Arabidopsis thaliana: one gene and its partners. The protein of the gene in region 1 binds, or shares a complex with, the protein of each later gene. Each region holds a gene or a part of one and is shown in the gene's direction. Other genes may lie near its edges.

Evidence for each region.
Region 2: the proteins of AT3G03070 (region 1) and AT1G79010 are in contact, whole or in part, in a cryo-EM structure (PDB 8BED), measured with the Arabidopsis thaliana proteins. Residues at the interface, in NP_566191.1 of Arabidopsis thaliana: Gly38 (codon at 1,939), Asn39 (codon at 1,942), His40 (codon at 1,945), Lys43 (codon at 1,954), Pro53 (codon at 3,023), Met54 (codon at 3,026), Ile57 (codon at 3,035); in NP_178022.1 of Arabidopsis thaliana: Glu143 (codon at 6,501), Glu144 (codon at 6,504), Arg145 (codon at 6,507), Glu146 (codon at 6,510), Asp147 (codon at 6,513).
Region 3: the proteins of AT3G03070 (region 1) and EMB1467 are in contact, whole or in part, in a cryo-EM structure (PDB 8BED), measured with the Arabidopsis thaliana proteins. Residues at the interface, in NP_566191.1 of Arabidopsis thaliana: Ile69 (codon at 3,071), Ala71 (codon at 3,077), Pro83 (codon at 3,218), Ile84 (codon at 3,221), Glu85 (codon at 3,224), Phe86 (codon at 3,227), Ile87 (codon at 3,230), Cys88 (codon at 3,233), Asp90 (codon at 3,239), Leu91 (codon at 3,242), Lys98 (codon at 3,263), Tyr99 (codon at 3,266); in NP_568550.1 of Arabidopsis thaliana: Pro167 (codon at 4,529), Leu168 (codon at 4,532), Asp169 (codon at 4,535), Cys170 (codon at 4,538), Pro171 (codon at 4,541), Ile172 (codon at 4,544), Met198 (codon at 4,622), Lys199 (codon at 4,625), Arg200 (codon at 4,628), Ser201 (codon at 4,631), Val202 (codon at 4,634), Val203 (codon at 4,637), Asp204 (codon at 4,640), Val214 (codon at 4,670).

What each region holds. Positions count from the first base shown.
Region 1 is NC_003074.8:690,275-699,896, reverse strand, and holds AT3G03070 (NADH-ubiquinone oxidoreductase-like protein), read left to right. Parts: upstream 1-1,732; 5' UTR 1,733-1,827; coding exon 1,828-1,965; intron 1,966-3,004; coding exon 3,005-3,089; intron 3,090-3,194; coding exon 3,195-3,304; 3' UTR 3,305-3,655; downstream 3,656-9,622. Other genes in the region: AT3G03080 (Zinc-binding dehydrogenase family protein), read left to right, coding at 141-318, 561-727, 825-907, 989-1,367; AT3G03060 (P-loop containing nucleoside triphosphate hydrolases superfamily protein), read right to left, coding at 4,473-4,980, 5,068-5,216, 5,456-5,780, 5,979-6,069, 6,300-6,609, 6,703-6,813, 7,088-7,183, 7,413-7,709; CSLD3 (cellulose synthase-like D3), read right to left, coding at 8,268-9,622. UniProt on the Arabidopsis thaliana protein: Accessory subunit of the mitochondrial membrane respiratory chain NADH dehydrogenase (Complex I), that is believed not to be involved in catalysis. Complex I functions in the transfer of electrons from NADH to the respiratory chain.
Region 2 is NC_003070.9:29,722,110-29,732,041, reverse strand, and holds AT1G79010 (Alpha-helical ferredoxin), read left to right. Parts: upstream 1-5,013; 5' UTR 5,014-5,108; coding exon 5,109-5,162; intron 5,163-5,556; coding exon 5,557-5,635; intron 5,636-5,763; coding exon 5,764-5,817; intron 5,818-5,938; coding exon 5,939-6,030; intron 6,031-6,107; coding exon 6,108-6,221; intron 6,222-6,467; coding exon 6,468-6,535; intron 6,536-6,617; coding exon 6,618-6,729; intron 6,730-6,808; coding exon 6,809-6,904; 3' UTR 6,905-7,246; downstream 7,247-9,932. Other genes in the region: AT1G79030 (Chaperone DnaJ-domain superfamily protein), read left to right, coding at 1-6, 100-204, 291-404, 505-588, 689-760, 848-1,120; AT1G79020 (Enhancer of polycomb-like transcription factor protein), read left to right, coding at 1,983-2,138, 2,201-2,330, 2,427-2,529, 2,830-2,953, 3,059-3,124, 3,355-3,393, 3,495-3,575, 3,669-3,716 and 4 more; HAC1 (histone acetyltransferase of the CBP family 1), read left to right, coding at 8,058-8,251, 8,412-8,526, 8,664-8,925, 9,010-9,483, 9,586-9,728, 9,831-9,932. UniProt on the Arabidopsis thaliana protein: Core subunit of the mitochondrial membrane respiratory chain NADH dehydrogenase (Complex I) that is believed to belong to the minimal assembly required for catalysis. Complex I functions in the transfer of electrons from NADH to the respiratory chain.
Region 3 is NC_003076.8:14,893,565-14,904,747, forward strand, and holds EMB1467 (NADH-ubiquinone dehydrogenase), read left to right. Parts: upstream 1-3,845; 5' UTR 3,846-3,925; coding exon 3,926-4,346; intron 4,347-4,451; coding exon 4,452-4,698; intron 4,699-4,794; coding exon 4,795-5,089; intron 5,090-5,168; coding exon 5,169-5,543; intron 5,544-5,888; coding exon 5,889-6,784; coding exon of another isoform or gene 6,785-6,788; exon of another isoform or gene 6,789-6,870; coding exon 6,871-6,883; 3' UTR 6,884-7,083; downstream 7,084-11,183. Other genes in the region: GORK (gated outwardly-rectifying K+ channel), read right to left, coding at 1,132-1,319; AT5G37520 (NEP-interacting protein, putative (DUF239)), read left to right, coding at 9,106-9,207, 9,864-10,007, 10,294-10,647.

The sequences.
Region 1 (9,622 bases):
AACGTTGTTTTCAAATTTAGAAACATTGCAATGTTTCTTTTGAATACTGTGTGATCTAAGAAATTGTACCTTTATGATTAGAAGTGATTTTCTCTTACTTACAGTCTCTGGTGCTAAAGGTTTTGATGTTTTGTTTGCAGCCAATTTATGGGTTTTCAGTGTCAAAAGTGATAGATTCTGGGCATCCAGATTACAAAAAGGGAGACTTACTTTGGGGATTAGTTGGATGGGGGGAGTACAGTCTTATCACTCCAGATTTTTCACATTACAAGATCCAACACACCGATGTTCCCTTATCCTACTACACTGGACTTCTCGGTATGTTATCTCTGCTTCTCTTTTGTTCATGTATGTAATTCACTTGATAGTGAGAAAGCTGGCTATATACAATGCTTGATGTACCTCTCTCTATGATTATTGGCATGATAGAATGGTCTTAGAAGCTCCTAATCATGTAGAATAGTTGTTTTGGTTGCTAACATATCTAATAACTTGGTCAAAACTCTACAAGTTTCAGTAGTTTACTGGTAGTCTTAGAAGCATCGCTCTGTTTCTGACAGGTATGCCCGGTATGACTGCCTATGCTGGATTTTATGAAATATGTTCTCCTAAGAAAGGAGAAACCGTATTCGTGTCAGCTGCGTCTGGTGCAGTTGGTCAGCTCGTGGGACAATTTGCAAAGATTATGGGCTGCTATGTTGTTGGAAGTGCAGGCAGTAATGAAAAGGTAACCAGAATTTTCTTGGACTCTAGCTATTGATCCATTTCCTTATCAAGAGATTCACTTGTCCCCTTTTTTCTTTCTCCGTTGAGTTTTGTTATAGGTTGATCTTCTCAAGAACAAATTCGGGTTTGATGATGCATTCAATTACAAAGCAGAGCCAGACCTTAATGCTGCCCTGAAGAGGTCAGTATACTTTGAGAATGTAGGAGACAAAATGTGATATAGAGATCTGATTCAAAACTATGATATCTTTCTTCTCACAAGGTGTTTCCCGGAAGGAATCGACATATACTTTGAGAATGTAGGAGGCAAAATGCTAGACGCAGTGCTCCTAAACATGAAACTACACGGCCGTATCGCAGTATGTGGTATGATCTCACAGTACAACCTTGAGGACCAAGAAGGTGTACACAACCTAGCAAACGTGATCTACAAGCGGATTCGGATTAAAGGGTTCGTGGTCTCTGATTACTTCGACAAACACTTGAAGTTCCTGGATTTTGTGCTTCCGTATATAAGAGAAGGGAAGATAACGTATGTTGAGGATGTAGTTGAAGGACTTGAGAACGGACCTTCAGCTTTGCTTGGACTATTCCATGGTAAGAACGTCGGCAAACAACTCATAGCGGTTGCTCGTGAATGAATCAGACGTCTTTAGTTGGAGAATGAGTTACAAGAATTTGTTTAGTTGTGTCGGAAGTTTATTCTTACAACTTGAAAATAAAGCCTCTTTTCATAGGCGTAACTACAATTGCATTTTTGGTTGTTTATTTTGATTCTTTCATTGGTCTATTCTACAATTTTGTACCTATAGTAAATAATATAAACTCACAATTTTTATACGGATATTCTGAGGGATGTTTTTTTTTTTGAAAAACAAGTTCAAAATATTTCATTATTTTCGATCAGAATCAAAAATATTTTCAAAAATGTTCGTTTTTTTTTGCATTTTCCAAGAAATTAAAAAATCGAAGAATATGTGCTTCAAATAAGTGGGCTTATATGTACTAAAGCCCAAATAAATGCGTTGTTTGGTACAGCTTCACGAACAATCTCTCTCTCGATAGATTCTTCTTACCTCTGAATTTCTCGTTGTTGGAACAATGGCGTCGAATCTCCTGAAAGCCCTAATCCGATCTCAGATTCTTCCATCTTCCAGGAGGAATTTCAGTGTGGCGACCACACAGCTTGGCATTCCAACAGACGATCTAGTCGGCAATCACACCGCCAAATGGATGCAGGTAATCTTCGCGATCATGAGTCCTTAGTTTTCTAGCTCTTTCGCATCCCAAATAAATATGTACGAGGACTTGTATCGTGAATTTAATCTGGGAATTACACTAATTTACTCGGGAATTAGTCTCGACGATCTCCCCTAGGGTTAGATCGTGATTTGGCATGTTTACGATTTACTGATTCGGTTTCGTAGTCGATTCATTCTGCTGAAATTGTGTTCCTGTCATATGAACTGGAATTTGGAAATCACAGGGAATTGTTCATTTCTGAAAACTCTTGCTAGTCAGTCTTGATAACTGAAGATATTTGTTTCGATGTTGAATCAGTGGTCTTGATATCTGTTCGAAACTGCTTAGAACTTGTTTTGGATTTTTGAGGACATTAGGTTTACTATTACATGGGAAATTTGTGGTTGACGAAAGAAAACTATCTGACCTAAAATCTGTTCGTTGGGAAACTTAGGCTTCCATTCATGTGGCCATGTTTTTACATGTCTTTGACTATCATCCAGTGCAAAACAATAATTAAAGCCAAAGGGCTTGAGAGCAGAAGAGGAGTAGAAGAAAATATTCTCATTCTTTTCTCATGAGTTGTGCTATCTATATTGCTCATTTTAAGGGTATAACCATTACCTTCATAGCTATGGTCTTGGAGTTAGTTCCTTTCGCTGATGAATTTTGGGCGGTAGAAAATGACGTATGTTAGTTTACTGTTAACTTTTATATTTGTTAGTCAAATCAATAAGTTGGGTTGAGCTTTCTCCTTTATGTTGTCACTACCCTTTGACCAGATCAGCTTACCCTTTTTATCAGTGCTTGAGAAAATTGTGATGAAGAGCTGATTCATCACATACTATTCCTAGTTTAAGATGGCAGCTCTGCTTTCATTGAAAACTAGTGATGTAATCTAGTGAATTTTTTTTGTTTGCTGAGACTTTCAAACCTGTATATATAACATAAATTGCATAGGCTCTATACCAGTCCTTTCTGGTAAATTATGAAGTTTCTGTATCACATTTTGTTTTCTTTTGCCACATTCCTACAGGATAGAAGCAAGAAATCACCTATGGAACTGATTAGTGAGGTTCCACCTATCAAAGTTGATGGAAGGATTGTTGCTTGTGAAGGAGGTCTGTCTCCTCTTCTCCTCAGTCGCTCAAGATATTTGGTTTAGTGATCATATAAATGGGCACAACAGAAATTGATATATAAATTGACTTTTGTCTTACTTGCAGACACCAATCCGGCCCTAGGTCATCCAATCGAGTTCATATGCCTCGACCTAAATGAGCCTGCGATCTGCAAGTACTGCGGCCTTCGTTATGTTCAAGATCATCACCATTGAGGCAAATTCTGAAAGTGAACTGCTGGTCTCTCTCCCCTTTTTATTGCATTTTTAAGTTTGTGTATTGTTTTTTTCTGGTGTGCCTACTACATCTTCAGCTATATTATCTAATAAAGGATTCGATCAAAGTCGGGTAAGTTTGATTTTTGTTTGATCTCACTTCAGCACTTGTCATGTTGTAACATTCAATCTCTGATATCACTGTCTTTTACATGCCATTGAGCTCAAAAAACAGCAATGGCCTTTTTCTGCTACCAAGATCATATGAAAGTTAAATTTTAAACAAATACAATTTATTGAGTTTTTCCCTCTTGAAAATTCGTTAATAAGATAATCTTCTTCAGTTTTTTATAGTGTGGTTATAATTTGATTGCGGAAGTGAGCAAATTCACATAATTCTCGAAAATATTTGAAAGCGTAAGAACTAGACAAATAGTGAGCCCAACAAATATTTACTATGCTTACAGGGCCTATAAAGCCCACTAATAGGCTTTTGAAATCGAATTGCACGTGAGGCGCATGTGCCATTTAAAATTGAAGACGCGAATAGATAAAATATCCTACTCGCACCTGTAGCGCGTTAACGCCACGGAGCCCAAACGGCTGGACTAGTACAGGGATTTCGTCGTTTTTCAGCAAAATAAAAATAATAGGCGCGTGGAGATATTTCTTTTTGTTTTAAACTCATCGCCTGAATCATTTACCGTCAAACAAAGCGAGGTGAAGAAGATAACTATTTCTTTGAAGAAGATAACTGGGTGATGTGAGCACAATCTGATTTGAGTTACTGATTTAACTTTTACAACGTCATTTCCATCTCGAATCCAAATTTGATCAAAGTTTGAGTAACTGAGATATTTTTGAATTTTGAGTATGTATATTTTTCTTTTGTATCTTGTAACCAAAGTATTATTATTATCGCTACAATCTTCAACGAAATATTTAGATATATTTCTCAGATTTATTTAAAGTAGTTTAGTTTGAGCTCCGTCAGACAATTAATTTAAAGCAATAAGACAAGTACAAAACCTCTCCTTAACCAAAAAAGGAGAAACAATAGGAATCAAAATCTCTACTTAAACCTCCAAACCAACATCAGAGATTTTTGTGCCCCTTGGCAAAAGTGTGAACATGATACCATTTGACTCACTTTTGGTATATAAACTCATCATTTTGAATCGACTCCAGCCAATTTCCTTCTCTGTTGATGCTCTGCAACTTTGTAATCAACAACCTCTCTGAAAAGCATAGAGTCCAACACACAGTCCTCACTTCCATACACAGCTGCTTGAACACTTGCCATCAGTTTCGCAATTTCTCTACCTGAAAACCCTTCGGTTTTTGCAGCCGCTTCCTTTAAGAGCTCCTCCGTGACACCCTTTATCTCGATCTTCTGCTGTTCTTTCTTGAAGAGGCGGTCGAACAAACCCGGCTTGCTTGGACCAGCCTCAGCTATGTACTTTTCTAGATAGAGGTTTAAAAGCTTGAACCGCTCTTCTTCTCCAGGTAAGGGGAATTCGAGAACTTCATCGACACGGTCAGCCACAGCTGAGTCTAAGTCACCAGGTCGGTTTGTAGCTAGTGCTAAGACTATGTCTTTGGATTGATCACCCGTGCGGAAGAGAAGAGCATTTAGAGCACTCCTTTGGGCTTCACTCATGTATGTTTTGTTCCTCCTGTTAAATTTCGATGAACACATCAAAACCATAAACAAAGTGTTGAAATGATCAGCCTGTGATTATGATATGAGTATTAGCACTTACTCGCACAAAAATGCATCGGCTTCATCAATGAAGAGCAATAAACCTCTCTTAGACTTTTTGCCCCAATCAAACAGTTCGTGAATCTTTGTAACAGCCTGAGCTCCAAGGGGAGCAACATCTCCACCAGTCATCAGTGCATAATCCAAACCCTACACGAAGTACGGAAGTTAGGAAAGTAAGAATAGATAGGAACAAAACTCCGAGAATCTCATGAGCAACCTAAATCTAAGAGCTCAAGTTCAACTTTCAAATGTAATCATGGAAATCAGCAACCACCATCTTCTGCTCTACCGTCCTAATTCTGTCTGCTAGAGACTCCATGGTCTATTTGGGTGTCTTATAACAATTTTTGTAATAACTTTTTTATATATATGGAAAGAATACATACAGATTTACGAGCCAGCTCTCTGGCCGCCATTGTTTTTCCTGTTCCTGGAGGACCGTGGAGAAGAATATTTCGGAAAGGAGCCTGGTGGAGTTTTGTGTTGGCGGTTGAGGTAGCTAGGTGCTCAATTCTCTTTGCTAGCGGAGGATGCAAAATAACATCACCGAACCTTTTTCCATTTTTGGAAGCTGACTCCTTACCCCGCAATGTGGACATTACACGAGAAAGCGAACCAGACCAAGGGTACTTGCCTCTTGATGATTCTCGGATTAACGATGGTTGTCCTAATATTCTGTCCACATAGCTCCAGATAACCTTTGCACCTTCTCTGCAACAAGCATTCAGCAACCGGCTAAGTCTATATTTCACTACTGTAGAAAAAATGACTGACAGGTAATAGAATCAAGAAATGTAAAACGAGAAATTTGCTAGTCAATGGCGTAAACACTTCCTCAACCCTTCAACAAGAACTCACGATTATGGCAAAAAATATTGTCAACATTCGGACTACATCTCTAGTCTTTACCTCGTTGTGTAGATTCCAGCTGCCAGAGCAGTTACACCCCCAACAGCGACAATCAGTTTATTTTGATCCGTCAGAATAGCACGTAAACCGCCTAGGAAACAAGAATAAAGTGTCAAACACCTGTTAAAACAATTAGTATTTTCATTTATTTATGCAACGTAAAGATTATGAGGTCACACATCTATTCTAATTACTAATTCTTGATACCCGAACATTCACCACACAGGGATTTACAATGTTTAGTTAAAACCTGCCAAAAAATGACTGAAGCCAACAAGAATATAACAACAGTGAGACTATGTATGGATATAAATCTCACACCTCCAATATGGTCGAATGTTGTGTTTATGGCAGCAACCCATTTCTCTCTTTCTGCATTTGCACGATCAACAAGCATTCTCCTGTTTACATCTTCAGCAAGCCTAGCTTCATGGGCTCTTCCTTCCGCTTCTGCTATAGCTTTGACCCTGATGGTCTCACGTTCAATCTCAGCCTTCTCCCTCTCAGTTTGGCGTCTCTGCGCCTGGATCTGTTCCTCAGTAGCTCGTCGAGCTTGTTCCTGCCTAATTGCTGAATCTTCTTGCATTTTCACAAGTTCTTGATTTCTTGTTCTATGGAACTCATTCTCGGCCTGTAAAACGATATACACATCACACAACAAAAGCTGTTAGAGAGAAGAAACGAAGCTAACAGTGTTGAAAAATTGTTTTGAGGATTTACATGCCTGCATCCTCTTTCTTGCCAAGTCATCTTCATAACGGGCCATCTGCGATTTTGTCTGTGCTTGGTGCTGAGCAAGCTTTTTCTGTTCATCATATATTACCTTATGCCTCTCCTGTAAAATGGAACATGTCAGGCACACAACTTTGTTGCCAAGAAGCAGCTAAACCGAGTAATAATATTAATCAATATGTATCATAGTGACCATTGGAAGCAGATTTTGTCACAAGACACTATTTTCAACTTTACTAAGATAACAGCATAATCGTTATGCCACAGTTGCTAACTCATTTCTATTAGGTAGCCATTAGTTGTTAACACAATTGTTCAAGAATATATAAACAGACATCCAAATATTGGTTAAGAAACTTAAAGTTAGATGATCTCACAGTTTCAGCTTGGGCTTGCATAGCTTTAAACTCTTGCGCCTTCGTTGCAAACTCAGTTTGCTTTGTCTCTTCTTGCTGCTTAATACTTTCAAAAACCTACCAGAACCAAATACACAACAACTGTGAGCTTAACCACGATTGATAAACAAACAGAAATAGAACAATTCTGAGATCCAACACAGATGCTACCATTTTCAATCACTTTTAGGTTCATCATACAAATTATAACCTAATTGAAACATTCTTCTGTAGCCTTTCCTAAACCTAAGCATGATTCGATTTCACAAAATTTCTAACTATAGAAAGAGAGAAAAAGGTTCAAGACCTTTTTCGCGTAAGAGGAATGGTTAATCTCTTTCAAGGCTTTAGCACCTCGCTCCAGTGCCTCCGGATCGAAACCACCGGAACTTGTCCTCGGATTATCATTGCGAGCTCGCGGAGGAGCTGAAGATTCTTCACCAGCCAACGACGGTGGAGGAGGAGAAGCCTGCTGCTGAGGATTCGCAGAAGTAGAGAACCCAGAGAGATTGAAGGGACCATCTGCAGAAGCGACTTTAGATTTCGCAAGAGAAGCCGAAGCTGCTAGGGCTGAAATCAAACCAATCGCACATTTCTGAGCCATTATTCCTGGGAAACGAGACTTAGGGTTCTTCGAGATTCGAGAATACTGTAAGAAAATGTGATTTATGTAGAAGAAATTGGCTTGGAGAAGAAGAAATTCGAAGTCGGAATATCTGTTGCCATTAGAAATCTCAAAGTCGACGAGAAGGTTCTCAAGGTTTAGGTAGGGTTTCGGCGGGACAAGTGTTGGATCGGTTTCTGGATAACTTGACCCGATAACCCGACCCGTTTTGTTTCCTTTTCCTTAAAAGGTTTATGAAAGCAAATAAATTAAAACTTAACAAAACTTTGGCACTTGAATTTGAACTGAATAAATAATTAACAGTAGTAGCATAAATAATTCCATCAACAGATAAAAGATTACAAAATTTAAAAAGACAAATAAAAAATGTCCTTTCCCAACCAAATAAAAAAACAAAAAATAAAAGACAATGAGAGAAGTTCTTTGACTTGCTCTATATTTTGGCTCAACTATACTTGTGTGTTTCTTGGCCAATCTCTGTCTCCATCTTTAGAAAGGACTAAAGAAAGAGAATTTTTGAGAAACCAAACCTATGAATCATGGGAAAGTGAAAGATCCTCCGATTTGAGTGGAACCAGCAGGTGGATTAATGGCAACCCAAAGCAGAGATATGGTGATGGCAACAAGTCCAGACCAGACATATACAATGGTCGGAGTCCTTCCTCTTCTTCCCATAAGCCCTTTAGCGAATGGATAAAGATGAGCCAGTACCCAGAAACTGAAGAACACTCCTCCAATCAACTTACTCCACTGCGGAATCACACTGTATATCGTCCTGCTAAACCCGACCGCGATGGCGATTAGGTTCACCATCATGATTGTGATTGGTGGGATCATGAGGGATGTCCATTTCACAATGTAGAGATCCGCAAATTCGTCGTCTACATCCTCTCCTCCGGATTTAGATGTCAATGTGAATGAGATTTCGATTCCGGCAACAACTTTGAGCAGCCCTTGGATAACCGCGGCTAAGTGAGCGCTTGTTCCTCCAATGAGCCAGAACTGCTCGTTTCGCCACCATTCCTCGAGTGAGATTCCTGACCATTTGATCTCGAGGAGAGCGAGTAAGCAGAGCGTAATGGAGATGATTAAGAGGTAGACAAGGAATGTGACATTGAGTGTTTGGACTATGAACTGGCCTGAGAATAGGGAGAGAGCTGGGAGGAAGCAGTAGACTATGAGGAAGAATGATGTGAACGGGTAGATTCCAACGTTTAGGTAAGCGATTCTCTGGAGGATTTTCATTCTCGGGCTAGCAAAGAAGGCATTGTTTCTTGAGAAGAAGATCTCTACCGAGCCAGTAGCCCATCGGAGAACCTGGTGAAGCCTATCCGTCAAGTTGATTGGAGCTGTGCCACGGAAAGCATCCCTTTTGGTCACACAGTAAACCGATTTCCAGCCTCGGTTATGCATTCTATAACCTGTGACCACATCTTCCGTGACAGATCCATAAATCCAACCGATCCGAGATCCCCACTCGGTTTTATCCTCGTACCAACAAGAGATGACGGCTATGGCTTCTGCCACAGTTGATGCATCAAGAAGCTCGCGAGGAATGGTGAGAGCTCCGGGTGGTCGTCCGTTTTGCACAGCTGGGTGATCCGCAAGAGGACGACCTTGGAACTCGGCAACCGGGATTGAATCGATAAGGAAAGTGGAGTTTCCGAATTTCTTCGGAACCAAAGAAAGATTCATCTCTTCATCATCATCTGAGTCACCACCCATTCTCAAAGATCGGTTTTCTTCTGGCACACGGCTTTTCTTCTTCTTGCGAGAGAAGCAGCAACTGCAGAATCCGGGATGGTGTTCTTTAGCCCGAGGTGGATCGAATCCGTACAACGCGATTCTTCTAAAGAGACAACCCGTTCCGACATAAACAGGACCCATCAACC
Region 2 (9,932 bases), on another chromosome or scaffold:
TACGAGGTAGTCGAATTACTTATAATCTTGAATTTGTATATTTTGAAGTTCTTGGTATTTTGATATATAGACATGTAATGGTTGTATTATCTTTTTCAGGTTCTATCTGATTTCGTAAAGAAGAGAGATTACGATGAGCAACTACGAAAAGAAGAATCTAGGACTAGGAGTGTTTGTCAGACATCTCATGCTTCTTCGCATCAGGTTTAGTTAAAGTCTTTTAGCTTCTCTGTAATATCTTTTGGCGTGTGGTCTCATGTTCCATACATTATTCCTATTTTGATAAGCAGAGTGGTCCTGATTATCGATCAGATGAGTCAAGGCGGATACACTGTACAAAATGTGGTAATTCACACATATGGATATGTACCAATAGGACAAAAGCAAAGGCAAGATGGTGCCAGGTGATGAATCCAACCAACTCAGAAACAGTTAAAGAATATTGTTCTTGCATTTTCGTTATTTCAAACCTCTCTTACAGATAATCTAATTTGTTAAATGTAGGATTGTGGCCAATATCATCAAGCAAAAGATGGAGATGGATGGGTCGAACTCAAAGGGACATTACCCTTCGAGAGAGCACATAAGGTATAAAAAAGCTTCTTTCTCGCCTTGTCAAATGTTATAATGAATTTGGTTTTGCCTCAGTATCCTCAGCTCAATCACTTTCTTTTTCATGTCCATTAAGATTGAAATACCGCGTGCTTTTGTTTGCGCGGAGAGCAAAATATTTGACGTCTCAGAATGGGCCATTTGTCAGGTCAGTTCTCTTACCGGTTCCTCTGCGGATTACTTAAATGCGAAGATGACTTGAGATACATTAACATGTTTTGATTGGATTAAATAGGGAATGGCTTGTAGACCAAACACGCATAGACCAAGCTTTCATGTGAACATGGTTGGGTTAGAAAAGACAACACAGAGATCAAACTCAAGTAGGTTCCCATGGGATCTAGATGTGGAGATGATGGATGAGGACGAAGAAGAGTTTGAGCTATGGCTTCAACAAGCTCTTGCTTCAGGTCTCTTCTGCGAAACCTCAAAACGTAGAAAAAGCTGGAGCCCTTTCAAGTTGGGCCAGATGAAAAGCAAGAAACAGTGGCGAAGAACTTCCACTTGATTCAAATTTGATCGAAACCATAAACAAAATTTTCATATAGCTCACCACGGTGAATCCAAAGCCTTGAAGATCATAATTTTTTTAGGGGAGTCTTTCTCTGTAAATAGTATCTGTCGATTGTTCTTCCAAAAGAAAAAAAAAAGAATCTTTGGATTTTTCATTGTGGTAAACTAAAGAAGCTGTTTTTCTTTTTTCTTTTTCTGAATCAATGTGTAGATTTAAAGGTGGTTCATTTGATAAGAAGAAGCTTAAAAAAGAAATGTTAATGGTTACTAAATTTATAAAGTTTGAATTTTTAATAATTCTGTCCCTTTTAAACATGAGAAAATAAAAATTGAGAAATCGAACCCAAATTTACTAAAGTTTTCCCTCCTCTGTATGTTGCTGACGAATCAAACACGTCGACCTCCAATATTTTTTTTTTTTAATTTCCTTCAAAGCTTCGATTTTGACCTTCTGGGTTAATCACGGAAGAGTTTCCTTTTTGGGTAGCCGCCGCAATTTTTCCCGGCAGAGGAAAAAAAACCCCTAGAATCTGGGAAATTGACGACGAAGAGGGATATAGGTTTGGAAATTTTGGGTATTTAATTTGATTTTTCTTTTTCTCGTTCCATTCAGATTCAAAAACAAAAACCCTAACCCTAAAATTCGTGTTCGATTAATTTCGTTGTCTCTGTTTTGTTTTCTCTTCGTGTAAACCTTTTTTTTTCGAGTTTTGGCACTCTGAGCTATTTGAGTATTACAGATTAAGCTTCGTCCTGTCTTATTGGAGCAACATACATATATATATATATATATATAGATATCTATCATCTGTATTTATAGGCACACTTGTAAGTAGAATAGTGAGGAAGAAGGTAATATGAGTAGGCTCTCTTTCCGGCCACGGCCATTAGACATTCATAAGAAGCTTCCCATTTTAAAATCCTTTAAAGACTTTGAAGATGATGAGACTCCAACTTCTACCACTAGAAATTCTCAGTTGCTGCGTATTGCTTCCGTAGAAGTTGACAATGAGGTGAATTTCCATTTTGTTCTAACTTCGAAACATTCGACCATTTTAACCATTGTTACTATCAGGTGGCTCCAGTGCCAAGTAAGAAACCGGCTTCAGAAATACCAACACCTCAATTTGTTATTGTGGATACATATGAAAGGGATTATTCTCCGACTTTTGGTCAGCCTGCTTCTTATCTACGTGCAAGAGGAGGTACCAATTTCCTCTGATTTGGTTTTGTATTCATTGGCAATGAAGGTGGTTTCTTTGTTATGTGCAGACTATAAGTTTGTCTGTTTGTTTATGCAGCTCGGTCTGAGCTTGGAGAATTTGTGGAGTATGATCTTGACAATGAGGATGAAGACTGGCTTTATGAGTTTGATAAGGATAAGAAAGAACTTCCACCTGAAAAGTAAAGTAACCAATCCAACTATCCTTATAGCTCTTCTTCTTCGGATTTATCATCATCATCAGTATTTTTCTGTTATCTTGTAGCTGCATCATGCTGATATTTTAAACGTTGAGGCGGATTGGGTTATTCAGACTCTCTGCGTCTTTTAGTTTTGTACTGTTGCTGAATTAGTTTGCTTTATTCACTAGAAATTGGATTCTGCTAAAATTGTTAAAACCAAAACTCTTAGTGAAATAGATACCGAAAGAAGAATCGTTCCATTTGATGCACAACACAAATGTGTTAAATTGTTTGATACAGGCTTGAGATCATCATTTTTAAACTAGAGGTGTTGGATCACAAGACGCGGGAAAGAGCAGGAGTTATTACACCTACTCTCGGCTCTCCAGTTCCTGTGCTTTTGCAGTTTGATGCTGCTTCTGATGTATACCTTTACTTTTGGATTATATATCTCTTGTTATTATAACTCTACACTCATTTTAGAAGCAGTACAAAACATTTGAATGATTAGTTCTGATTCTTATTGCAGGTGCTGCAAGTACTGTCCATTAATTATGGAACCTTCCAGGCGATCTTCAACTACTGGAAAGAAAAGGTTTGAAATAAAACTTATGTGATTGTTACAAGTTTTCTGGATACAGACGTTATGTTGCATAGGTTAATGATCTTATTTTACGGGGTGAGATAAGACGGTTTAATAGATTATTTGATTCGTGAAACCTATGCATAGTTCTTGTGAATGACAAAGCAGTTCCACATATGGAGTACCTTTGGCTGATAATACTTATGCATATGTTTCGTTTTCTGTTTTTTATGTGAACTTAGCGTAAAAGATGGCAGAAGCCTATCTTACGGCGTTTACAGGTTTGTATTATTTATTTCCATTTGAAACGATCAAGGCCTATGTTGGAAAGGCATCTTACCTCGATTATTTAGTTAATGTTTTGCTTCATTGTTTGGAACAGCCTCCCCCACCGGTTAATGACACCAATCCCTATAATGTGTTTAGGCCAAGGGAGAAAGTTCACAGACTCCACACAAGAAGGGTAGGCTGTCTTTTTTATGCATGTGCGACATTTTTTCTATTAAAATCCAACTGGAGAAAGAAAAATAGTGATAAGGCTTTACTTCATCTTCAGATGCAGAGGAGAGAAAACAATGTGCAGTCATTTGAAAAGCTTCGACAGGTGAGTGAGGCACCTGAACCTTTATGGTTCTTTAATTTCCTGAAATCTGAGCAATTTACGTTTACAGTGCCTTCTTTTAGTTTCTCTCTGGACAACATTGTTTTTTCTGCTTGTTAATGATCTGTTAGTGATTCTTTTATGGTTTTCTATTGGATTCTGAATACATGGGATATGTTATTATCAGGTTAGACGCAATCTAGGCCAAGCACAGAGCATTCTGGAGGCTCTCATTAAGGTGTTCTATATGACAGTTTTAGTGTTTATCTTAACAAGCGGATTGCATTCTCCAAAGTTGCTAATTTGATGTTACCCATTCCGTAGAGAGAAGAGAAGAAGAGGGATGTCATGGACAGTGAGGTTAGCCTTCAGAGAATCCAACTCCAATACAGGGTACTTACTTCTACTTCCTCTAAAACTCTCTGTTTTCCGTTTTCCGGGTCTAAAATTGTTTTTTTTTTTGCAGCATGAAACAGAGCTCTTGGAAGATAGCTTGGCTATGCCTGGATTTCAACCCACTACAACATCATACAAATTTGGCTCAAGCGATGATGAACTGATGGACTCTGATGATCACACCAGTACTCGTGTACGTACAAGACCTGCGGTTATTCCTAGTTCTCGTTTCACCAACTTAAATCTGAATGCATCTCATCCCGGAGGCATCAAACAAGAAGTTAGAAGACGACAGTCACAGCATGGATGGCTTCACAGACTGGTAAAACCTTCTCTTACAACACCTAAGCTCTCTCTAGCTACTATAATCAATCATTTAAGCAAACCTGTAATGATTTTGTTCCTTAGGATCCTAATGAACCGGTAATGCTATTCACAAAACCGCTGGTTCCCGATAAACTGGCAGCTGCAGGGATTGTTCCTCCAACACCGGATTCATCACCAGGTCAACCTCCAAGTCGGTTTCAGGGGAGGATTGGGCGTGGTGGCCGAATTATTTTCGATAGATGGAATCCGTTGATGCAATCTCACATTAATTGTGGAAACTCTTATTACATTGCTCCAAATCACCGGTCTACCAACTTCGATTGAGATATTTTCACAATCTTGCTTTGTAAAGAATTTTCCATCACCAATGGTGTATGCAATAACGATTCTCAGCTAAATAAGTTTTAGCACTTTGTAACTAACTGGTTATTGTGTGTATTTCTGTTTATTTTCGGTTAAGGAAAGAATCTGTTTAATTCAAAATCCGGTTCTATCGGCGGTTTGGAAAACCAAAAACTATTGTACCAGGGACCAAATTGTAATAATATCTTCAACTCAAAGGACAAAATAGGATTTTAGGGCTCTTTATTGATTTTAATCGGAAGTTCAGGTTTGCTCATCAATCGCAGTGAAGAAGGAAGGAACCTAAATCGGAATTTGGGTGCTCCATCAATGGCTTCGATTTTGGCTCGCAGGTCACTGAATACTCTCCGTGCTCGACATCTCGTATGAATCTTGTTCGCTCTTGTTATTTCTTCATTTTGTGTCCTTTAGTTAGAGTTATTTGAATGCCTAGAAATGGGAATGTCTCCTGGAGTTTTGGGAGCTTAAGATGATTCTATTCACTCTCTGTGTTTTGTTTTGTGTCGACGAGATTCTGGATTTTATCTAGCTGATCGATGAAATCATGTAGGGAGATTTGAATTTGATCATGGTTCATCTTAAGGGCTTTCGTTTTACTTATGGTTTCCTTATTCTTTTTCGCATTTAATTTTTGTGACGAAAGCCTTTTCGCAAGTCAATTTTTTTTTGTTTTTTTTTGCGAGCTTTAATCCTTTCATTAGCTTGATATGGTGTGTATGTTCTGAATACCTCTCTGATTACTTCTCGACATTGATAGGTTTTGTCAGGGCAAGCTTTACAGGGATCTCATCTGTCTAGACTGCAGTCCCGTGGTATATCTTATGGCAGCAACAAAGGTATATTTTCTGCTCTTGTTTGGTTTTCTTTGGTAAATCAGGTTTAATTGTGAATCTACCCCTTTTCCAACTTGTATTACGAGATTCTGATTCATATATGACTTATGGTTTGCGTATGTAATATTCAGATGATGAAGAAGCAGAGCAACTTTCTAAGGAAATCTCCAAGGACTGGAATACTGGTAATCCATATGATCTAGACAATTTTACTTTTTTTCTCCTTTCTTCTTTTCTTGTACGTCTATCTTCCTTGGTGTTTTCCTCCCCGAGTATTAGTGATTCCTGATATTCTCAAATTTGTAGTCTTTGAACGGAGCATAAACACCCTGTTCCTCACAGAAATGGTCCGCGGTTTGTCGCTGACCCTCAAGTACTTCTTTGATCCAAAAGTTACTGTGAGTGATATCTTTTCTAGTCTTCCAAACTTAGATTGAAAGAAATCTGTGTTACTGAAGCTCTTTCGTGTATGCAGATCAATTATCCATTTGAGAAGGGTCCTCTGAGCCCTCGCTTCCGTGGTGAACATGCTCTTCGAAGATATCCTACCGGGGAAGAACGCTGCATTGCCTGCAAACTCTGTGAAGCTGTGAGTTTTGAGATCGATATGAATCCTTCATTTAATTTAACGTTCTCTTTGTTCTGATATGGTACTCTGAGTCTATCAAATTCATCTTAGTAATTAGGAAAGCTATTTGAGTATGAGTAATATTTACTGTTTAGTCTCTAGAGTTCTGATGAAATGGTCATATTAGCTGACAATGATCTATTTAGTGTGTATAAAAGTTCACCACGGATTGTAATTCTTGTGAGGGATACTTGTCCTTTTCATCAGGTATGTCCAGCTCAAGCAATCACAATAGAGGCAGAAGAGAGGGAAGATGGAAGCCGCAGAACCACTAGGTCATCATCCCTTTAGTTCTCATTTATCAACCATCTGCTTTCTTTATTACCCTTTCATGATGATTTGAGCTGTATCGTACAGGTACGATATCGACATGACAAAATGCATCTACTGTGGTTTCTGCCAAGAAGCTTGCCCCGTTGATGCAATCGTTGAAGGACCTAACTTTGAATTCGCAACCGAGACACACGAGGTCTGTTTTTCACATTTTCTAGACCCTAATAATTTTCGAGGCATGCTTATTGAAATTTTTGTTATATTCTCTATGATAGGAACTTCTCTATGACAAAGAGAAGCTTCTTGAGAATGGAGATCGATGGGAGACAGAGATTGCTGAGAATCTGAGGTCGGAGAGTCTCTACCGCTGAACCATTCTACAACAGTCTCTGCTTCATTCAACTTGTTTTTCCCGGGGAAACATTTTCGTTGCTTCTGTTTGAAAATAAAGACGAGATCATATGCGTGTGAAAACTCTTTTGTAATCCAGATTTTGTGCTGTGTAATTGAATTGTTTGTAACCAACCTGACTTTGATTTTCGGTTCATGAGTTCCGGTTATTAGGTGTTTTCGGTTCGGAGAAAGAGCATTTAATTTGGTCAAAGACTGAAAACAGATAAGTCTTAAGCTACAAGGGTATATCTGTACATTAAGAAATATTTGATCGGACGGACAAGATCATGTCTTTTTTTTTTTTACGGCGGACGGACAGGATCATATGCTTATAGTTTATCCTAATCTGTCCGATCTAAACATAATGCTTGTCGATTTTTTCATTTATTTGCCTTTTGGTTGCGCCAATTATCGTATTCAGACAGCAAAATTAATATTTTAATGTGTATTTTTTGTTGAGTTACTATTTTAGAAAAACAACGAATCCCTAGAAAGGAAAGAAAAAAAAAAACAAAATCCCCAAATCGAGCGAGTCCAAAGAAAAATCCCAAATTCGACGAACCTACAAGCCCAGAACATCCCCCGATTTGGGAAAACCTGAATTCATTCGCTTTTGATTTGCCATCTTCTTTCTGGGATTTGTCTACTGCTTGATCCTAATTTCTGACCTCGCTTTTGGTTTGAGTTCACACGTGCCGCATCGGCTGTTCACCGGCTTTGTTTCATTGTGCAGACTCCAATCATCGTACAATCTGTAGCAACCGGTTGGTCTCCGTCAAATTTCTCCACTTTGTTGCCAAATTTTACTCCTTTTTGTATCAATTCAAAGATTGGGGGTGAATTTTTAGGGTTTATCATTTTGTTCATTTTTGGTAACTATTTTGGGGTTTAATTACTTCTTTAGTTGATACTATGATTGATACTATCTCCCAATTAATATGAGATCAAATTGTGACAATTTCAGTTCTCTGATTACACCAAGTTTTTTTAGCAGGACATTCTCTAAGGTGCTAAATCAGGAGATGAAATTTGGATACTGTGACTTCTGGAGGAGAGGAAAGTTATGCAGTGTTTGTTACTGTTAATTACCAGAAGAACTAGGACAAGGCGACGGAGACTGAAGAGGTAGCTATGAATGTTCAGGCTCACATGTCGGGGCAGGTTTCAAACCAAGGGACTATGTCCCAGCAAAATGGGAACTCCCAAATGCAGAATTTAGTTGGTGGTGGTTCAGCTCCTGCTACTGGTGCTGGTTTAGGACCTTCACGCGTTTCTCCCGTTGACAATGACATCTTGAAACTTCGGCAGGCTATGCGAATCAGGATGTAAGCCTTTGCTTTTCTCAAGCTTTTGACTTTGGTGTCTTCCCACCATTTTGCAGTTATATTTCCTTGCTCTTGTTATACGGCTATTTATTTTGGATTGGATTCAATATCTCCAGTTTATCGCCAATCAAATCCGTGTATTTCTCTTCTTTCTTTTCAGTTTCAATATCTTACAGCAAAAGCAACCATCTCCAGCTGATGAAGCATCAAAGGCTAAATATATGGATGTTGCTAGACGCTTAGAGGAGGGGCTGTTTAAAATTGCTAACACAAAGGTATTTATTTAATATACTTAAGGAAAGGATAGGCACGTATTTGGCATTTAAAATTTTGCCACTAGATCCAGCTTGTTGGCTAATGTCCTAACTTGAAATTTCTTGTTAACGTGCTACACTTCCATTTTGAATCGCAGGAAGATTACGTGAACCCGTCAACCCTTGAACCTCGGCTGGCAAGTCTAATCAAAGGCAGGCAGTTAAATAACTACAATCAGCGACACGCTAATTCTTCTTCGGTTGGAACAATGATACCCACTCCAGGATTACAACACAGTGGTGGGAATCCAAATTTGATGATTACTTCCTCAGGTGATGCTACAATGGCTGGAAGTAATAACATCACAACTAGTGCTATGAACACTGGAAACCTGCTAAATTCTGGTGGCATGCTTGGAGGTTCTTTCACTACAACTTATATAAAATATGGGCATAAAATTTTCTGCGCATATTTTTTCTGAACACCTTTACTTCTCTTTGCAGGTAACCTGTCTAATGGATACCAACATTCATCGAGTAACTTTGGTCTTGGGTCTGGAGGGAACATGTCATCCATGAGCTCCCAGAGAAATACCGGCCAGATGATGCCTACCCCTGGATTTGTCAACAGTAGTACTAATAACAACAGCAATAATGGCCAGTCTTACTTGAGTGTTGAAGCTTCCAACAATAGTGGTGGATTTTCTACTGCTCCCATGATGGTACCTCAGACTCAGCAACAGCAACTGAGGCAGGATATTGGTGGCCAAAATAGTCGTATGCTGCAAAACCATGGAAGTCAAATGGGTGTTGGCCTTAGACCTGGAATGCAACAAAAATTGTCTAATGTGTCTAACAGCTCCATAAATGGTGGTGTTGGAATGAATGCAAAAAGCGTAGATTCAGGTACATCCTACACCAATCCTATCAGAAATTCACAGCAGGCTTATGATAATCTTCAGCGTTCAGGAATGCAGGGTAAAGTCTTTATTTCCCATCCCTAAATTGTAGTTTCTAACCTCTTGTTGTTGTGCGTATTCATCAGAATATTTTAATTGTTATGTTATTTTACCGTTTCAGGTGATGGATATGGCACAAACAACTCTGACCCATTCGGATCGGGAAATTTGTATGGTGCTGTAACATCTGTTGGGATGATGACAAATACTCAGAATGCCAATACAGCAAGTTTCCAGGCTGTGTCTAGAACTAGCTCTTCTTTGGTAAGCAATCCATGGAATTCACTTTGCATGCAGCAAAGTGCACCAGTGAAACATCAATCTGAGAATACCGATTTGTAATCATCTTTCGTACCTTTTTTGCAGTCACATCAACAGCAGCAGTTTCAGCAACAGCCTAATCGGTTTCAGCAACAACCTAATCAATTTCACCAACAGCAGCAGCAGTTTCTTCATCAACAGCAATTG
Region 3 (11,183 bases), on another chromosome or scaffold:
TTTTATAGTTAATGTTATTATGCTTAGAAGAACAGGTGGATGAAATATCCACGTGTGGCCTCTGGTTACGGCAGCTTTAGTGGAACCAATTAATAATCCGATCTTCGATGATTCTGTCACAACGCATAATTACTAATATAACCCTAGTGAAACATTTATGGGAGTGTAACAGTATCCTCTAGTGGATTCAAGTTGTTTAACGTAGTATTTTTTTTTTTATTCCTGGTGCAATTTAACGTAGGATTCTATTTAAAGATAGATTTAAAGTTTTTCCTTGTTTTGGTCGGAATTTGGTTTTAGATTTAAGTTTTAAATTTTCAATAGGTCGGCTGCAAATAAAACAAATGCTTAGATTGAGGTGATCAGTGGACAACGAAAGAGAAGAAATATATCACAAGGAAGTGTCCCACCAATTTCTTTTTTCTTAGTAAATAATAATGAAAAGAATATCGACAACAAAATCACCTGATTAGCATCTAATATCTACTTTTGATAAGTGATGAAGATTATTCATCTAAATCCTAAGGCTATTAATGGATGATACGAATTAAGCGATTAGACCATTTTATTTTTAGAGCGAACAATAAATTCTGTAGACCAAATTCACTTTTACGTAAAAAAGATATATCGTTAGTCCATTGTAGACGGATTCTATTTTTATTATTTTGTATTACTATAAATTATACTTTATGAACGGTAAATAAAAAGCAATCCAAACTGTAAACGGATTTGTCCATTCTAATTATCGTAATTTTTCGAACCTTAAATCATTTAGTTGTTTTAAAAAATCCTTGACATAAATATTAATATTTAAACTAGATTGAAGTGATACTAATATTAGATTAGATTGGTGACACAGCCTTAAAAATGAGCAGAAAGAAATAACGATAAGAGTTTTAGTGATTGATAATTATTAAAATGGTGAATTTTCTATTATTGTATTATTCGAAGTTAAAACTAGGGAGACAAGTTTTTGAAGTGGTATGGTGAATAAAGTTTTTTTCTGAAGTTACAGAAAAAAAAACAGAAGATATTTTGAAGGTTTCAAGAAAAGTATTTTCTACGTATTTATCTCCCGATAGAAAGGAAACTCTTCAAGTGCATGATGAAGAAAGAGAAAAAAGAAAGAACCTGTTTTTGGGATGAATGATGTATTTATAATCATTATGACCATCGGTTTCAATTCTCCGATGCTCTGATGAATCAAGCCACCGAAACGTCTCGGCTAAACTGAGTTTTCCTCTTCTTGATGAAACGTCGTCGTTTGATTCCTCTTCTTCATGATCTATTATCTCTTGCCGTCTCCGGAGACGTCCCATGTTTTCAAGAATCGGTTAAATGAAATCTCCGGCGATCTCTTCGACACAAAGATCTAGAAAAACAGAGTTTAATACCCGATTCAACTCTTGAATCTGACACTCGAAACTTCGTCTTTTTGGTAGAAGATAGATCTTGTAATGTTTTACAAGTTGAAGAGAAAAGGCGGGAAGATCACGAGAGCTGCTTCTCTGTTTTTTTCCAAATTATTTTTTGTTTGGTCTTCTTTAGTTCTTCTTTCTCGTGATGTTAAAGCTATATTGATTTTGTTTCTGTCGAGAAACTACTGTTTTTTTTTTGTTTGGTTTGGACTCTTTATTAGTTGAAGTGTATAACGTAAGGTTTTGTCTAGAAGGACCGAATTTATATAGGACATCAGAACATGTCGATTGTCGAACATATATCATTGTTTTTTTAATATAAAAAATCTCATCTAAATTAAAATTTGGAATTGAATTGTACGAACGGCTAATAAAAATTTACCAAAAGATTACGATGCTCCAAATCTGGATGATGATTCCCTAAACCGGTTTTTGTGAATCATTTCTAGCATAATCGAATTTAAGTTAATCTGGACTAGTGTACTTGAACATTCACGGGGTAAGTGGGGGAGTTATTTTTTTTTAAGACAATAAATCTGTTGTAAATTGATGTACTAGTTATAGACATTAATGGGTGTGTAACAGCATTTCCTATATGTTTAACGTAGGATTTCTGTTTAAAGTAAAATCAAAATTTACATCAGGTTTTGAGATTTTTAGTTTTAAATTTTCCAAATGGTCGGCTTTGTATAAAACCAAGAGAAGAAATTAAATATACACGAATATGAGGACGTGTCCAGAAAAAGAAGAATATCGACAATAAAAATCACCTAATTTGCATCTAAATATTGACTTTCATAGTACGCTAGAGATAATCAGTTCATCTTCACCTTATTCTTTGCATTGTGTAAAAGAGAGATTATGCAGAGTTTCCTAGTTGACGAGAATGAGATAGCAGAGATATTTCTTGTTTTCGTTTTGCACTTTAGAGGTACTACCTTATCGAGTTGTATGAATATGATTGTCTTGCTTCTATTTTTTTTTTTCATTTTTGGCTTTGATTGAATAAAGGTGAGAATTTTTATTTATTTTTCGCAAAGTATTTCCTTAAAATATTAGTATTTCGGTTTAGATTAGAACAAATACGAGACGATAAATAGTTTGATAACAAAAAGCTATATATGTTGTGTTTCATATCTTATCAACTCGGTCACATCCTCTTTCCATTGGATGCAATTCTTTTTCATAGAAGAACCACTAATTCTTTTTTTTCTTTTGCCATTAACCCAACAATTTTTATTGTAGTTAGTGGTTCTCCCTTATGTTTCTTTGCCTTGGAATGTAATCACTCTGTTTTGACAAAAAAAAAAAAAGAAGGAATGTAATCACCCTGTTTGACAAAAAAAAAGAAAGGAATGTAATCACTCTGTTTGACAAAAAAAAACAAGAGAGGAATGTAATCACTCTTAAAGTGATCTATAACAATTTGAAAAAGTGTCATATTTATTAGCTATAACTTATAACTTTATAAGTTTTGAATGGATGCAGTGGACAAAGCGGTATACTTTGTATGCGGTTTAATCTACCTTATTTTGAGGCGGACAATAAACCGCTGTGGACCAAGTTTATTTATATGTAAAAATAGTTCGTGGATGATTCACAGATGATCTGTTGCGGTTTTCTTCTTTTTTTTTTGTCCGGACCACTGTGCACTATAATTGATTAATGGTAAATAAAAAACAGTCTGATCCGTTGATGGTTTTGTCCGCCCGAACCGCCGTAACCATTCAAACCCATAATTAAAATTATAACGAATTACTATGTAAATTTATAACTAAAACTATCAAATTAAACGAGTTAAATTATACTTATCATGTCTGCCTGTAATGATAAGATAATATATATCAAAGCTTATGAAACTTCATTTTTTTTTTTTTTTGGTTGTCATTGCAAAGGTTAGATTAATAACAATATCACTGATAATGATGCTTACACGTAAACCTAAACAAACGAGGAAAATAAACTAACTCTTACACGTAAACCTTAACCGATGCAGCATAGGTGTTGACAATATTTTCTTTCCTTTTATTTAAATAGACGACGTTGAGATGTTTAAAATTGTCATCATTTATAACCATATTTTAAGTTGTCTTTATCTGAAATATACAAATGTTCAATTAGTACATTGACCTAAAAGTCTCTAGGACTAATGATTGATTAGAGGTTTATTTTGCTAGAGGTTCTAATATGTTGTATGGAACTAGAAGCAAGATTGTTTTAAACTCAATGTCATTAAGTGAATTAGAGAAAGATCATCAAAACTCTTAAACTATATCTCCCAAAATTAACTTAATTCAGTTTGAAAAGAAAAAGCCCACAAAGCCCAAAACTCACTCATTCATAAGCCAATTATAATATCCAAAATAAAAGCCCATAAAGCCCAAAACTCACTCATTCGTGTCTCCTTCTCTCTCGCACAAATGCTTCAGGAGTTCTCACAACAAGATCGAGAAATACACACATAGAAGACGAAGAAGAAGAAGAAGACGATACAGATCCACAACGCCATGGGTTTAGGCATCTTAGCTTCTCGAACAATTCGACCAGCTTCACGTCTTCTTCAATCTCAAACCTCCAATTTCTTCCTCCGCACAATCGTCTCAAAACCAGAGCTCCAATCTCCTGAATCCGCTGCTGTCTCTGAGCCTGAGCCGCCGACACAGATTCTCCCTCCTAGAAACCCTGTAGGTGGAGCACGCGTCCACTTCTCGAATCCTGAAGATGCGATCGAGGTCTTTGTCGATGGTTACGCGGTCAAAGTCCCTAAAGGATTCACTGTTCTTCAGGCTTGTGAGGTCGCTGGAGTTGATATCCCGAGGTTTTGTTATCATTCTCGTTTATCTATTGCTGGAAATTGCAGGATGTGTCTTGTTGAGGTTGAGAAATCTCCTAAGCCTGTAGCTTCATGTGCCATGCCTGCGCTTCCTGGTTAGTTCGATTCCAGGAAAATTTCTATGCTGATGGATTGATTTTGATCGTTGATTGGTGGAATATATTTGGATTTGGTGCTATTGCTAAGAGTTTTTGTAACAGGGATGAAGATTAAGACTGATACACCGATAGCTAAGAAGGCGAGGGAGGGAGTGATGGAGTTTTTGTTGATGAATCACCCTTTGGATTGTCCTATTTGTGACCAAGGAGGAGAGTGTGATCTTCAGGATCAGTCTATGGCTTTTGGATCTGATAGAGGACGTTTTACTGAGATGAAAAGATCTGTTGTTGATAAGAATCTTGGTCCTCTTGTGAAGACTGTTATGACTCGGTGTATCCAGTGTACAAGGTTACTAATATAGTTTGCTTATAGTGTGATGTTTTAGTTAATGTGATAGATACGCTATCCTGTTGATTAGGTTTTGTATGTATAATGTTTTTGTAGGTGTGTACGATTTGCTTCTGAAGTTGCTGGGGTTCAGGATCTTGGTATACTAGGTCGTGGTAGTGGAGAGGAAATTGGAACTTATGTTGAAAAGCTTATGACCAGTGAACTCTCTGGAAATGTTATTGATATCTGTCCTGTTGGAGCCTTGACCTCAAAGCCTTTTGCCTTTAAAGCCAGAAACTGGGAGTTGAAAGCAACAGAAACTATTGATGTTAGTGATGCTGTTGGGTCCAACATCCGTGTTGATAGTAGAGGACCAGAAGTAATGCGTATCATTCCACGCCTGAATGAGGTATGTAATGCTTTTGTTCAAAAACACTATTTTTAAAAGTATTTTGCTGGATGTTGAACTTGTGAATGTTCTTATTCAGGATATAAACGAAGAATGGATATCTGACAAAACCCGATTCTGTTATGACGGCCTGAAAAGACAAAGGCTGAGCGACCCTATGATCCGAGATTCCGATGGACGATTCAAGGCAGTGAGCTGGCGTGATGCCTTGGCTGTTGTGGGTGATATCATTCATCAGGTGAAGCCAGATGAGATTGTTGGAGTAGCAGGTCAGCTATCTGATGCGGAATCCATGATGGTACTGAAGGACTTCGTTAACAGAATGGGCTCAGACAATGTATGGTGTGAAGGAACAGCTGCTGGTGTTGATGCTGATCTTAGATACAGTTATCTGATGAACACTAGCATCAGTGGACTTGAAAACGCCGATCTCTTCCTTCTCATCGGTACCCAGGTGAGATTTCCACCCTGTCTTTTTTGTATGGTTTCTGGTACCGGATTAGACAGACCGCTCTGTATTTGGAACAATGACATAAGAAAAACCAAATTGTGTAGTTTGATACTTTGATTTAGTGGTGTGGCTTAAGGTTCTGTGCATAATTTGGAATACAGAGGCAAATAGAAAGGAGAAACAAGCAAAATTAAGTTTCTAAAAAACAGATCAGATGTTAACATTTCGCTTGTATTGAATATTCCTGATCCAGACCAATCTAGATCAAGCAAAACTTGCTCTTCCAGATATCAAAGTTGTGAAGGTTTTTTAGCAGTACATTCACCAGTTTTTGTCTATTTTTACCAGCCTAGGGTGGAAGCTGCAATGGTGAATGCTAGGATCTGCAAGACAGTCCGTGCATCAAATGCCAAGGTTGGATATGTTGGTCCACCTGCAGAGTTCAATTACGACTGCAAACACCTCGGGACTGGGCCTGATACTCTCAAGGAAATTGCTGAGGGACGGCATCCATTCTGTACGGCTCTCAAGAACGCCAAAAACCCTGCAATCATTGTTGGTGCTGGGCTCTTCAACAGAACTGATAAAAATGCTATCCTCTCTTCTGTGGAGTCCATTGCACAAGCCAACAATGTTGTCCGACCAGACTGGAACGGTCTCAACTTTCTCCTTCAGTATGCTGCCCAAGCGGCTGCTCTTGATCTTGGTCTCATTCAACAGTCCGCCAAAGCCCTCGAGTCTGCAAAATTCGTCTACTTGATGGGAGCAGACGATGTAAATGTTGACAAGATTCCTAAAGACGCCTTTGTGGTTTACCAAGGACACCATGGAGACAAAGCGGTTTACCGTGCAAACGTAATTCTCCCTGCATCGGCCTTCACTGAGAAAGAAGGAACCTATGAAAATACTGAAGGATTTACCCAACAGACTGTTCCAGCTGTTCCAACAGTTGGTGATGCAAGAGATGACTGGAAGATTGTGAGAGCCTTATCCGAGGTCTCGGGTGTGAAGCTTCCATACAACTCAATCGAAGGTGTTAGATCAAGAATAAAGAGCGTTGCACCAAATCTAGTCCACACAGATGAGCGAGAGCCAGCTGCTTTTGGGCCTTCATTGAAGCCTGAGTGCAAGGAGGCAATGAGCACAACACCGTTCCAAACCGTGGTTGAGAACTTTTACATGACAAACTCGATCACAAGAGCATCAAAGATCATGGCGCAGTGCAGTGCCGTGCTCTTGAAAAAGTGAGAGCTTTAACTTGGGTTTTCACATTTTCTCTCTTTTCGCAAAAATAAAGATACTGATTCTTCGTTTGCTGTCCTCTTTATAGACCTTTTGTTTAAGCCTGAGTATCACTGTATCTCGGGTTTAGCTTGCGGTGAAATCTATAAGCAATTTGCAATAAGCACATTGTTAGATTCAAAACTTTGCAGTGTTAATTGGATGCTTTGTGGCATCTTGTATTGTTCTTATTAGGACTCCCTTTTACATTTGCATATATGAATTTGGAGGCATGGCGATATATACAATCTCTACTTTTATCGTTTGTTCTTAACCATTGTGATTGTTACAAATAATGCAAATCTTGAAAGGATTAGATGGTTTCCAATGTGAGATGATCACTTGTGAACTAAACTGTTTTTGACAAGTTATGTTACCTAAAATCATTTCAGTTTCAACTTTGTGATTGGTCATAAAGAAAATTTCAGATAGATTATGAAAGACAATCACAAGTAACATATAAATTTATTTTAGAAAAACTTACCTAAACCAATCAATTTTTTTTTATAGCTGGGATAATTAATCCATCCAACTTTTTTTATCTTTCTCAAACAACCAACTTTTTATTATCAAATTGCTTTCTTACTGATTAGGTCTTATATCTAAAAGTATAATATAAGCAAAAAAATTATTTAATTTAATTAATTTTAAATAACCTGTTTTTTTTTTTTTTTGAACTTCAACACATTGTTTATTGGTTAAAATCCATGCTAAATGGATAAGATTTTTTTGATACATGTCCAAATCTTGTTGACCAATAACACATGTAAAAAACATTTTGTTAGTTTTTTTTGGGTAAGAATAATTAGTATATGTAAATATTCTTTTAATTAGTTTTTATTTTCTGTAAAAGAAAACAAAAAAATAAAACAGTTGTTGATATCTAATCGAGAAAGTTACCCGTGTCGCAATCATGTGAGTTACTAATTTTGAAAACCAAAGTTTATATAATAAAATAATTATACCAAGTTAAGTTCATAAGTTAGTAATCTAGATTTACACATTTTTATACAGATACACAATACATGTAATAACAATAATCATGTACCATAACACTTAATAAAAAAATGAGTTAATTATATAGTTCAAATTTTATGAAAAAGAAATCATGTGTATCTAGAAAATATTAATGTTATTTATATTTCTCTTTATCTCATTTATTTTGATATTATTATATAAATCTCTCTTTACTCTTTGATTGCCACTCCAACCTTATTTCTTAGAGAATATGAAATTAAGTTTTCCAGGAAAGTTGTTCTTCTTGTTAGGTTATATCCTATGTTTCAGCGATATATCGAGTTTCAATAATCATTTTGTGGATGCAGAAACATTGCAAAATTTCACCTCATTTGAAATGGAAGAACAACTTAAAGTCATCGACGAACATGCAGCTAAAATCATCAAAGTCCGTTTAATTTCATCTTATTTTCTTAGAGCTGCACTCGTTACCTTGATTTATACATATATATATATATATATATATATCTGAATTTTGTAGAGATATGTGAAGTTTACAAAATATTTTATAATCTACTTTTTGTTTATGGATGATAGACTACACATGGAGATACATATGAATGTGTGGATTTTTACAAACAACCAGCGTTTGACGATCAGACCATGAAAAATCACTTGCTCAACTACAAAGTATATAATAAATTGAATATAAGTGAATCTGATCATTATTTATCACTAATACAAAATTCTTTGTAAATGTAGATGCATCAGATATCATCCCGTAAAAATTCAAGAACAAGAAAAATAAATGACAAAAAATTTGGTTTCTTGTGGGAAAATGGTGTAGGGTGTCCCATTGGTACCATACCCATACAAAGAGTCACCAAAGACAAACTTTTGAGATTAAATTCGTATTCCAACAAATCTAAGCCCCAAGGTTCTTGGAACTTCACTTATAATCAATATAATGTCGAACATCATGTAAGTAGTACCCTTCCTTATGTTTTATAAGATGTTTTAACTATTTTTTTCTTATGGTATAAGTTTTAGTTATGTAAGAAATATAAGTGTGTTTTAATTAATTACCTTTAAAATTCTAAATTATTGTTGTTAGAAACAAATTAATTTCAAAAATGTAAATATAACTTTTTAAATCTCCGTGCAGTCATCTTTATAAAAAGATACAAAATATATAATTTTGTTATTTTGCTCAATATATAGAATTCTATTAAATTCAAAATAAGAGTTGATTATGCATGGTTATGATGACTAGTTTGCAGTTGCTCGAACCAAGAGAGGAGAAAAGAAAAGCTATAGTGGAGTATCGATGGCTATTTCTGTACATGATCCTGAAGTTAGATCTCCGCAATTTAGTTCTTCTCGTATGCACGTTCAGATTGGAGACGATTTTATTCAAGCTGGATGGACTGTAAGTTTGTTTCAACATTTTATGTTTAATTAGAGTTGCGGCCTAAAAGTATAAAAATATAAATCATAATAAATTGGTTTTATTATAAATACTTAGAAATATACTACACTTAGTTTTAATATTATTAACATAAATCTATTAAAATTTCAGGTAAATCCGGCTTTATATACTGACATGCAACCACGAAGTTATGTTTATACGAAAGTAAGTTTATTACTTATATATCTTCAAATACCAAGAAACTTATTTAACTTTTCTTTTTTTTGACAGCTCCAAGAAACTTATTTAACTATATAACATGCTATTGTAAAATGATTATAAAATTTAATCATTTGCCTAAATTACTTCAAAATTTAAAAGATAAATTAAACACACATTATATATCTTTACAAAAGAAAACAAAATTCCTCACATTATATTTTATTTTTATAATTTCATTCTAAATATTGATTTTTTTTTTATATTTCAAACAATTGAAACAAACAAAAATGATGTTCAACGCAACCAAAAACAATGTTTTCTAAATGAATATTTTGTAGCGTAATTTATCATAAAAAAAAACAATACTATAAATCACTCCATCATATTTTGTAAAATTATTCGATGTATTAGATATTTATACGCTAGACATAACGATACATGTAAAATTTGTATAGGCAGGTCAAAATCAGTGTTATAACAGCTTGTGTCCGGCTGGAATCATTTTGGTCCGTTCAGATATTCCTCTTGGTGGGCTTCGAGGTCCTCCTGGTGTCCGTGGTTCTACACAAATAGTATATGATACATATGGATTACTCAAGGTTTGCTACTTATTTCATTTCCTCTTTTTCTATAACTTACTAAATTGTTATTATGTTTCTTATTATTCAAACAAATTTGATAGAACGTATGTAAAAAAGAGAGAAACAAATAAATATAGGTATTAAATCAATAGCACACGCATAAAACATAAAACTCAACAGTTGTTTTTATTTGGAAGTTGTATGTGTGGTTTTAACAGTATTTATCAATATATATAACATGTTCTATTTGTAATTATATAATAATGCTAATATGTTTTTGCTTTGATGTGGATGTTGATCAAAGGACAAAGCAAATGGTAATTGGTGGCTCGAGTTTGGAGGAATACAAATTGGGTTTTGGCCAGCAAACATATTTCAACAGAGTTTGGCTAACAGTGTCGAGTGGGGAGGAGAAGTATATAGCGCATCTCTGCCGGGTCCTCGTATGGGAAATGGTTATTTTCCATTGTTAGATCCAGTGGACGATGCACATGTGTGTAATATAACTTTAGTTGATGAGAATTTTAAGGTTGATAAGATGGTAAAAAATATAGAGACATTCTCGGATAACAATCATAGTTATAAAGTATACGAGGATTTAGATTCAGGACTACCGGTTGGACATATCATATATTTTGGAGGTCCTGGAAAGATGTAAAAGAAAGAATATAATTTTGTGTAAAACTGAAAATGAAATAAAATTATCTTCATGTAATTGAGCATCTAAAATAAATTTCTCTGTTTATAGATTATTTTATTTATTACTGTTTATAGATTAGTTTATTTATTACTTCCTCTGTTTCTATATAAATGTAGTTTAAGGGTTTTTATTTTTTTCCAAAATAAGTGTTGTTTTCAACTTTTTATGCAAATAATAAATGTATTTAAAATTTTTTAACCAATTATACTTAATCATATATATATATTTTATTGGTTGAATTGGTTATAATAAATGATATTTTTTTATAGAAAAGAGGTAGATTAAATAAGATTTTTATGATTTCTTAATATATGTGTATAAAACTTAAACTATAACTAATATGAAACCGAGGGAGTATATAATTAGTTTATTAAATGTAGGAATGAAATTTATTTAATTTAGTTGGTAATTTGATTTTGAATTTAAATTGTATAGGTTAGTTTTTTTATTATATAAATTAGTTTAAAAAATAATATAATCGTTAGTTAGTTACA